2 linked regions of the Schizosaccharomyces pombe genome follow. Changing the gene in region 2 together with the main gene of any one other region gives a genetic interaction. Each region holds a gene or a part of one and is shown on either strand. Other genes may lie near its edges.

Region 1 (3,772 bases), on a different chromosome or scaffold from region 2:
AGATAATTCCAATTCAATTCCTTTCTTTAATTTTAATTCATTCAATAACAATGGGGCAAATTGGTCTTCAGACTTTAATTATCCTGTATCCGAAACTTCCGGTTTGCTTACAGATAATAATCGGAATCAACCGCCCTCATTTTAATTTTTTTCATATCTTTATATTTTATACTATTTGTTTCTTAATGAAATGCATCTTTTAGTTTTTTTAAACAAAAATCAACTAGCTTTGATTCGGTTTTTAATTAATTTAAGGATTGATCTGAAGTTTTGAATATTTTGATTTGGGGTTCAATTGTTGATAGGAAAACGATCCTCTTTTACCGAATATTTAATTACGCTAAGATATGCAATGCTGAGAGGTTCACAACACATTAGTTAAGAGGGTTGCTTCTGATATTTTATTATCAAAAAAGGTTCAGCGTGATATGGTTAACAATAGCAACGGAGGCTTTATATTTAAGATGAAAAAAATGGCATTCAAGCACATGTTCCCTTAATTCTCAAGAAAGAATCTACTCGTTCAAACTTTTCCTTAATAATGATAATGATAACATGACTACGTATGTTTAATAATAGAAGAGAATATTTTTTAATGAGATGAAGGAATAATATAGCAAAACTTCTGAAAATAAATTGATACAGCTAATTGAAGATATTGTTGTTTATTGTTTACTGCCCTGAATCTAAAAATTTTGAAAGTCTAATAGGTTATTTATTCAAATGTCAAATAAGGAGTTATTAGCGAAACAAAGTTTGTAACAAATGGTTATTAAGCATTCACTCTGCATGCACTATATTCACTTGATTTAAGTCGTCAAAACTAGCTTTGTGAACAAGGGGGACGGCCCTTAAAAGAACACAAAAATGATTTCGATAAGAAATGCGCTAGCAGAAAAATAATTACTAAAGTAGAAAGACAGTCAATGGTTAGAAACTGGAATGTACGAAAAAGTTAATTTCTGTATTCCCTATAAAGGGAAGGTTCGTTTAGCAAAAGAAGTTGAAGATCACAAAAACATTTTCAAAATCGTAAAAAAAAAGTTCGTAAATATCACGGTTATTAAATATAAATAAAAGAACTATATAGCCTAGTTCAAAGAGGACGTGAAATAAAAGAATTAAGTGAAAGTGTAACAGAGTTACAGCAAGTACAATTGCTAAGTGATATTTATTTGCACCCTAAATGGAAGCCACAAGTAATAACAACGCACAAAGGAGCAAAATAATAAAGCATCTGGGATACTGTTTAGCCTTTCGGCTGACCTTGTTTAATCGATTTTTTGCATGATCAAACCTCCTCTCAATTCGATCAGCATCATTATTCATATTATCTAGTAAAACATTTTGTTCGGACAATTCTGTATTCATTGCATATCCCATCCGCTTTTGCCTTTGGACACTTGCTTCGATCCCTCCTAAAGATTCTTCTTGTTCGTTGAGCATTTGCTGATGCATTTGAGCCAAAACGTTTACGTTTATGGGATCAGGGTCATTGCCATCAACCGGATACATGGCCTCCATCTCAATATCAGATCCCTCACTACTCGAAGTCGTTTTTTGTAAAGAAGGAAGGGGAGTTAACTTATTATTCGTACTTGCAACTTGCGGGTTTGCAGAAAAGGCACTTGTTCCGTCAGCAGGAATTGAGGATGCACGCCGCTGCTTCTCAAACTCTTCCTCAGCAGACTCTAACCTCCTTTGCATTCTAATAAGAAATGCTTCGGATTCTCGTACTCTGTACTCTGGGATTTGTGCATTTTTCTCTAATCGCGATTGCTCCTCATTAAGTTTTTGCAATTCTTGCCGAACATCTTTCAATGAAGACTCAATTTCTTCATCGGGATTCTGTCCAAACTCTTCCAACTTCCTCCTGTCTCTTATTTTTTGTGAAACCGAGTCAATGATCAGAAGCAAATTTGACATAGTCGCTGGTTACTTTCTTGAGTAATCATGTTCATCATGCGCCTAAAAACACAAACATTAGTGAAGTTTACAGTAATACGGTGTAATGCCTTTGCTACCAATTCTAGGTTCAATTACAGTAAATTTTGTTTGCAGCAAAAAAAGAGAATCTTTTCGTATGTTTTAAATAAAAAAAAAAGTAAAAATGATTTGCTCATTAGCTGCCAGATCCATTATAGGCATCCTGTGAAATTATCGTATTATTAGAAACCTACTCGTTATTTACACAATTTTTTGAATGCTTCTTTTCGACTCTTCTGATTGTTTTCGGTATTTATCACAAATTTAGTAGTTCTTATTTCACATCTATTAAAAGGTAATCAAGCAAGGTGTAAGGAAAACTTTTTAATTATTGAAAGTTGGTTTGCGTAGTTTCAAAATTAATCAGATAAATTTATACAGCAAGCCCAGTATAAAAAGGGGCCTAACCAGGATTCGAACCAGGGATCACCTCTAAACTCAGCATACAAGTGGGGATTACCCGAAAGAGGTATGTTAACCACTACACTATTAGGCCTAGGTTTCTCATTACAAAATATTAATATAATATATATATAAAATAATTGCGACATAATAAATGTTAAGTACCTCTTTGCTCTGAAAACTAAAATACCAATAATGACGCTTTTCTTTTCATTAGAAGAGAATGTTTATTAAAGAAATATCTTAAAGAAAAATACTACTTAAATATTTATTTAGGAGTTAGTACACTAATTCCAGAGTATTAAATCCAAGTGTAACAAGGTAGGAGTAACAAATAGTTGTTTAATTACAGACAATTAAGTACAGTAGAAAATTACTCAAATATATACAAGGCTTTGGGCCGTTTAAAACGAATCATGCTGATATCTATATTCGGCTAATCGACTTCTTGCTTTATTCTCAGTTTAAAATGGAGTTTTTTTTTATAGCGTTACGAATTAGAAATAGATGTAGCCGTCTATCAAAGTTGACATTGCACGTGAAATTATCATTATAAACATAATCAAATGAATGGCAAAGCGATCAAAATAAGAAGGAATTTTACTACGTTATAAAACATTCGGCTTTTTATTTTACTTTATTCTTTTTTATTCAGGTGCATCTGATAATAATCGCGTGAAACTTGAGTGCAAAAAATTTTACAGCCCTGTAGATCCCGAGTGAGAGTAGATCACATATAGCTAAAGGAGCTCGTATGAAACTAAGATACAAATACATTTGTTTACGAACGTTTGACAAATATATAAATTGACCCACAGACCTTAAAATTGTCAACAACAGTTGTCTCAAAAAAAAGCCGGGTCGAAAGTACATTATTTACTAAATGATAGTGTTTTTAACTTCAAAAACAGTACAAAGAATGCTATAGAAAACAAAATGCATTTTCGATGAATTGAATTATTCATTTTCTGTAAACAACAAAAAGTTGGTTGAGAATTATGGAATTCGTTATTTTTATTTACCGTATTTCAATAGTTCGTAAATATGCATGACCGCATCGGTAAGCATAGGCAGGCTTAGTAACTTGCATTTCTCTTTGTCTTTAAGCAAACATCGACTAAAATACATATTGCTTGAAAAATTTAATATTGGTTGCATACACTTAATTCACAATGGATAAAACAAAAATGTTTAGTGCCATTAATTTGGGCGTAGGTGGTATCTTCGTTTTAAGCGGATTTATCAAGTTATTTTCATTTAGCTTCGTAAACGCTTTACTTGCATTGTTCATCATCGTTTTCGGTTTGGGAACTATTGGTTTAGAAAAGGAAATTCCTCCTATTGCTATTAAATATGGATCGTTCATGTTCTCATTCTTAGGAAG
Region 2 (4,125 bases):
ATGAAAACTACCAATATTCGCAAAATGTCAGGATCGAAGTGCTGTTCGTCTTCAAACACCATAAAGGTGTCCATTTACCTATTTTTACACACGTTAACTTATGGCTTGCTAAATTATCACCTCAATCCACGATTATTAGCTTCCACGGGGGTGGTGGAAAGTGATATTCCTTACTGGATGGTATGCAGATCATTATATAAGTTTAGATTTACTAACAATGGATTGAAAGAGTTATTTATCAATTATTATGCACGTTGGTCAATCTCTTCTGTTGCAGAAATTCAACCTAGGTTATGGATGGCTTTTACTTACGAAATATCCAGTATACGTGCTTCTCTCGACCTACTACCTTACTCCTTTGAGTCAAATTGCTTGGGCATTCATAATTGACGCCATTTCTTTGCTAGTGGCGCGCTGTTTCTCTAGAGCTAACCCCATCAAATGTTCAAACCAAGTCAACACACAGTATAGTGTCTCTTTCCTATTCACAATTATGGCGAGTGTATTGATCAGCGTGCTTAATTATATATCACAAAAGATATTCTTAAACGGTCTTATTCTTGGAAACTCCCATAACGTTGTTACTAGTCTCGTTGCCCCTCCGCTCCCGTTACAATATCTTGCCCATGTACCAATTGGTTACGTTATTCAAAGAGTCGTGTTTAGTGAAAGGCCTATTCCCCAATCATTATTTTTGATGATTTTCCTTACTCTGTGGAATTGCTTTATTCCTTATTCAATTTTGTTTTCAATGAATTGGTCCGCCATGTTCCAAGTGGTGGGTGCTTACTTGTCACAAATTTGGATTATCACTTTTATCTGCTGGGCATTGTCTCTGTAAAGTTCGAGTTCTGTTTCTTTTACATCATTTTTTTTCTTGTAATGTAGTTAGTTGGTTGTTTACTTCCTGGTGGAAGTTCTCATGGGCTTATCTTAATTCATTGTATCTGTTATGGGATTTTCCAAATTTGTCTATATGTCTTTACTCGTGTTCAATAATTTCAGTGAGGTAACGTCAAACTTTTTTCATCAGGTTAATGCCCTTTTTCTTCTCTTTTTCATTTTTCGTTTTCACGGTGGAATTTATTTCTGATGAAGGAGGCAGATTTCTTCTTTCTGAGTTGAACATCATGTGTGGAACTGACTATGAATATATGTAATTTAATGACTGTGGTTTCAAATTGATTCCGAACTCTTTTAAAAGATATCCATTGTGGGATGTTTCGTCCTTTATTCTCATCTATTAGGGTCGCATAGTTTGAATTGGATGATCGTTCAAAAGCAGTATATGGTTATACTTTAAGCAAATGTGAGAAGTCTTTTCGCTGTATATTTTTCCCTCTCGTGATATGAAAAAACAGTTGTTAAGTTCCACTAGTACTATTATATATCATCTGTGGGGCCTTTATATTTACATGACATGTATTTTAAGTGAAAAATCTTTATGCATATCAGAGTACTGTTGTTATTTGGAATCTACCTATACTTACACTTTTGCATAATGTTACGATCTGGCGTTTATTCTGTGCTTTTAATACTTTAGGCAAGTCGCGCTTGCAACCAATCCATGTAGGAAAATATAGAAAATAAACAATTTCTGTTTATTACTAAGCTTCGTTAAGATTTTGCCGTTCTTCTGTTTAGGTATTGTAATTACTTGTAAGTTGCACCGTTCACGAGTGCCAAAAAAAATACTCAATAATCTGACTATAAAGTGTTTAAAGGTATAAGATAATATACTAACCTAATTCATTATTTTAATTTCTAAATCTATTGCAAACTGGTAAACTTTCTTTCAATACCTGCCAATTCGATAATCGTAAAGGCATCTCGCGCATCAAGGAAAACATGAGGTTTAAAGGATCTAAAGCATCATGAAACTGAAATTTATCTTTATTCAACTAATAGAACCTATACTATTTGAAAGCTCAAATTCTACATTATACAGTTTTATAACGATAGTGCAGTAAATCCGATACAGTAGTCTGTTGTTCATGAACTCATTGTTGATCAACCTGTTCATAGCAAGTATGGCGCTAAAAATTAAAATACCAGAAACGTCTCAAGTAAGCTTTATTCCTTTAATTTTTACTTACAACTAGTCTTCTGATGAATATTCACGATGGACGGTTTACCATATTGAAGTAGCATTTCCGAATGGTGGGAAACATGTTGTATTTCGTCGGTTCAATGAATTCGTTGCTTTGGATGCTCAAATTCGGCCAAATGACTACAACAGTAGACTTTGCAAACTCCCCTCTAAATCTTGGGTTTCTTCAACTGTGACAAATGAAAAGTTACGTGAATCTCGACGACTTGCTTTACAAGCTTACGTTCAATGCCTTTCAGAAACGCCATGGATAAAAATGCCTGTGGTTAAAAAATTTCTAAATATTAAAGATGAATCGGAAGATGAAACACAGGGTCAGTTTTTGGGTCCGACAGATTGGATTCAAGTATTTCAAGATTGTAAACGTAATTTACATATGTACCGAGTTGACTTAATGAGTGGAAAAAGCATTACGATAGGAGTTCAAACAAAGAATGTCTATGCAATAAAGTCGCTAATGGATAACCTTTCAGAATCGTTAGACAAATTAGAATTAGCAAATGCTCTTGGTCCAGGAGAAATCCTTCGACGAAAAGATATGTTAGAACAGCTTGGTTCTGAATTCTTGTCATTTAAACGGTTAGTTAAAAATGCAAACAGCCCAGTCGCTCCTCCTTCTGCCTCATCTCAATTAAACTCTTCTAATCCTAGTTCTCCCTTTCGCCCATTATCTGCATCTACTGACAAACAATCTAATACCTCTTTGAACAGAGTCCTTGGAAAAAACAGAATGCCAGAGACACAGACAACAAAAAAGCTTGATAATGTAGGACTGTACAACATGCAGAATCAAACTATGGAAGATCAAGATATGCAAGCAGAATCGTTATTGCCTATTATTCAAAGGCAGAAGGAGCTTTCGAAAATGATTAATCAAGAAGTTGTCGAGCAAAACTCCATGTTAGACGAGCTTTCTAATGAAGCATATGCAAACCAAAAAAAGCTACACAGAACACGAGCTGGCCTTCGCAAATTGGGTTAATATTTGGGTGTTTATGAGTATTTGATTTAATTTCACGAAATTTAATGGAATCTTCTTTTGCAGTTTTGTCTTGTTTTCTATCCAATTCTGCTACATTAGTGATTGTCTTGGATGAGATTATCTGGGCTAAAAATATTTATTATTTGGTGTATTTGCGTTCTTTCCTTTTTTTTTTTTTTTGTTTAATCTTCTTGAAGATACCGCAGTAACCTCTGTGAGTTATATAGGCATGGTTAGTTCGTCCGTCAAGGTTGAAATAATTGTCTCCTTTAATTAAGCTTGATATTAATATACGACTTGTTTAAATTTCAACTTGTTTTGACAGACCCCATTTCTTTTGTATTTTGGTTTGGCTTGTAGTTCCTTTTAATGCATTTAGTGTACTGTGCTTAAGCTCGCTTTCTTTAGATTTTACTTATTGACAGACTTAGACAACTGAAATTCCAATAATGGAATTAACGCAAGAGAATACTGAGGAAAATGAAAAAACTCATGTAGAATCAATTGTAAAATTTGAGGATTCGAATAGAGGCACCATTACTGATTTTCATATCGAGACAGCTAACAATGAGGAAGAGAAAGACGCCAACGTAATTCTCAATAAATCTGTTAAAATGGAGGTTGAAGAAGTCAACGGTCACGTTGATTCTTCCTCAACGGAAACAGACATAGAAATGCAAGTCATTCAACAGCCTACAATACCCAAAAAACCACCCGTATCAGCTCATAGAAGGGGTCCACGAAAACACCGAGGAAATGCGAATAGCCAACTCAATCTGTCTACAGCCGATCATCAAAGACCATTGTATTGTATATGCCAAAAGCCTGATGATGGATCATGGATGTTAGGATGTGATGGTTGCGAAGATTGGTTTCATGGCACTTGCGTTAATATACCTGAATCTTATAATGATTTAACTGTACAGTACTTTTGTCCTAAATGCACAGAAGAAGGAAAGGGTATAACTACTTGGAAAAGAAAATGCCGGTTACGAGAATGCTCGAATCCCACAAGACCTAATTCCAACTATTG

The links.
Region 1: mutations in vsl1 (region 2) and fsv1 impair growth when combined (synthetic growth defect), as found in Schizosaccharomyces pombe (one study listed by BioGRID).

Annotation. Positions count from the first base shown.
Region 1 is NC_003424.3:1,312,539-1,316,310, forward strand, and holds fsv1 (SNARE Stx8), read right to left. Parts: upstream 1,943-3,772; 5' UTR 1,927-1,942; coding exon 1,183-1,926; 3' UTR 698-1,182; downstream 1-697. Other genes in the region: DNA-binding transcription factor, glucose starvation sensing, Rst2, read left to right, coding at 1-145; tvp15 (COPI-coated vesicle-associated protein), read left to right, coding at 3,561-3,772. UniProt on the Schizosaccharomyces pombe protein: Involved in vesicle-mediated protein transport between the Golgi and the vacuole.
Region 2 is NC_003421.2:364,895-369,019, reverse strand, and holds vsl1 (SNARE protein Vam7), read left to right. Parts: upstream 1-2,008; 5' UTR 2,009-2,030; coding exon 2,031-2,066; exon of another isoform or gene 2,067-2,102; coding exon 2,103-3,092; 3' UTR 3,093-3,422; downstream 3,423-4,125. Other genes in the region: bouquet formation protein Bqt3, read left to right, coding at 25-180, 230-841; Set1C PHD finger subunit Spf1, read left to right, coding at 3,542-4,125.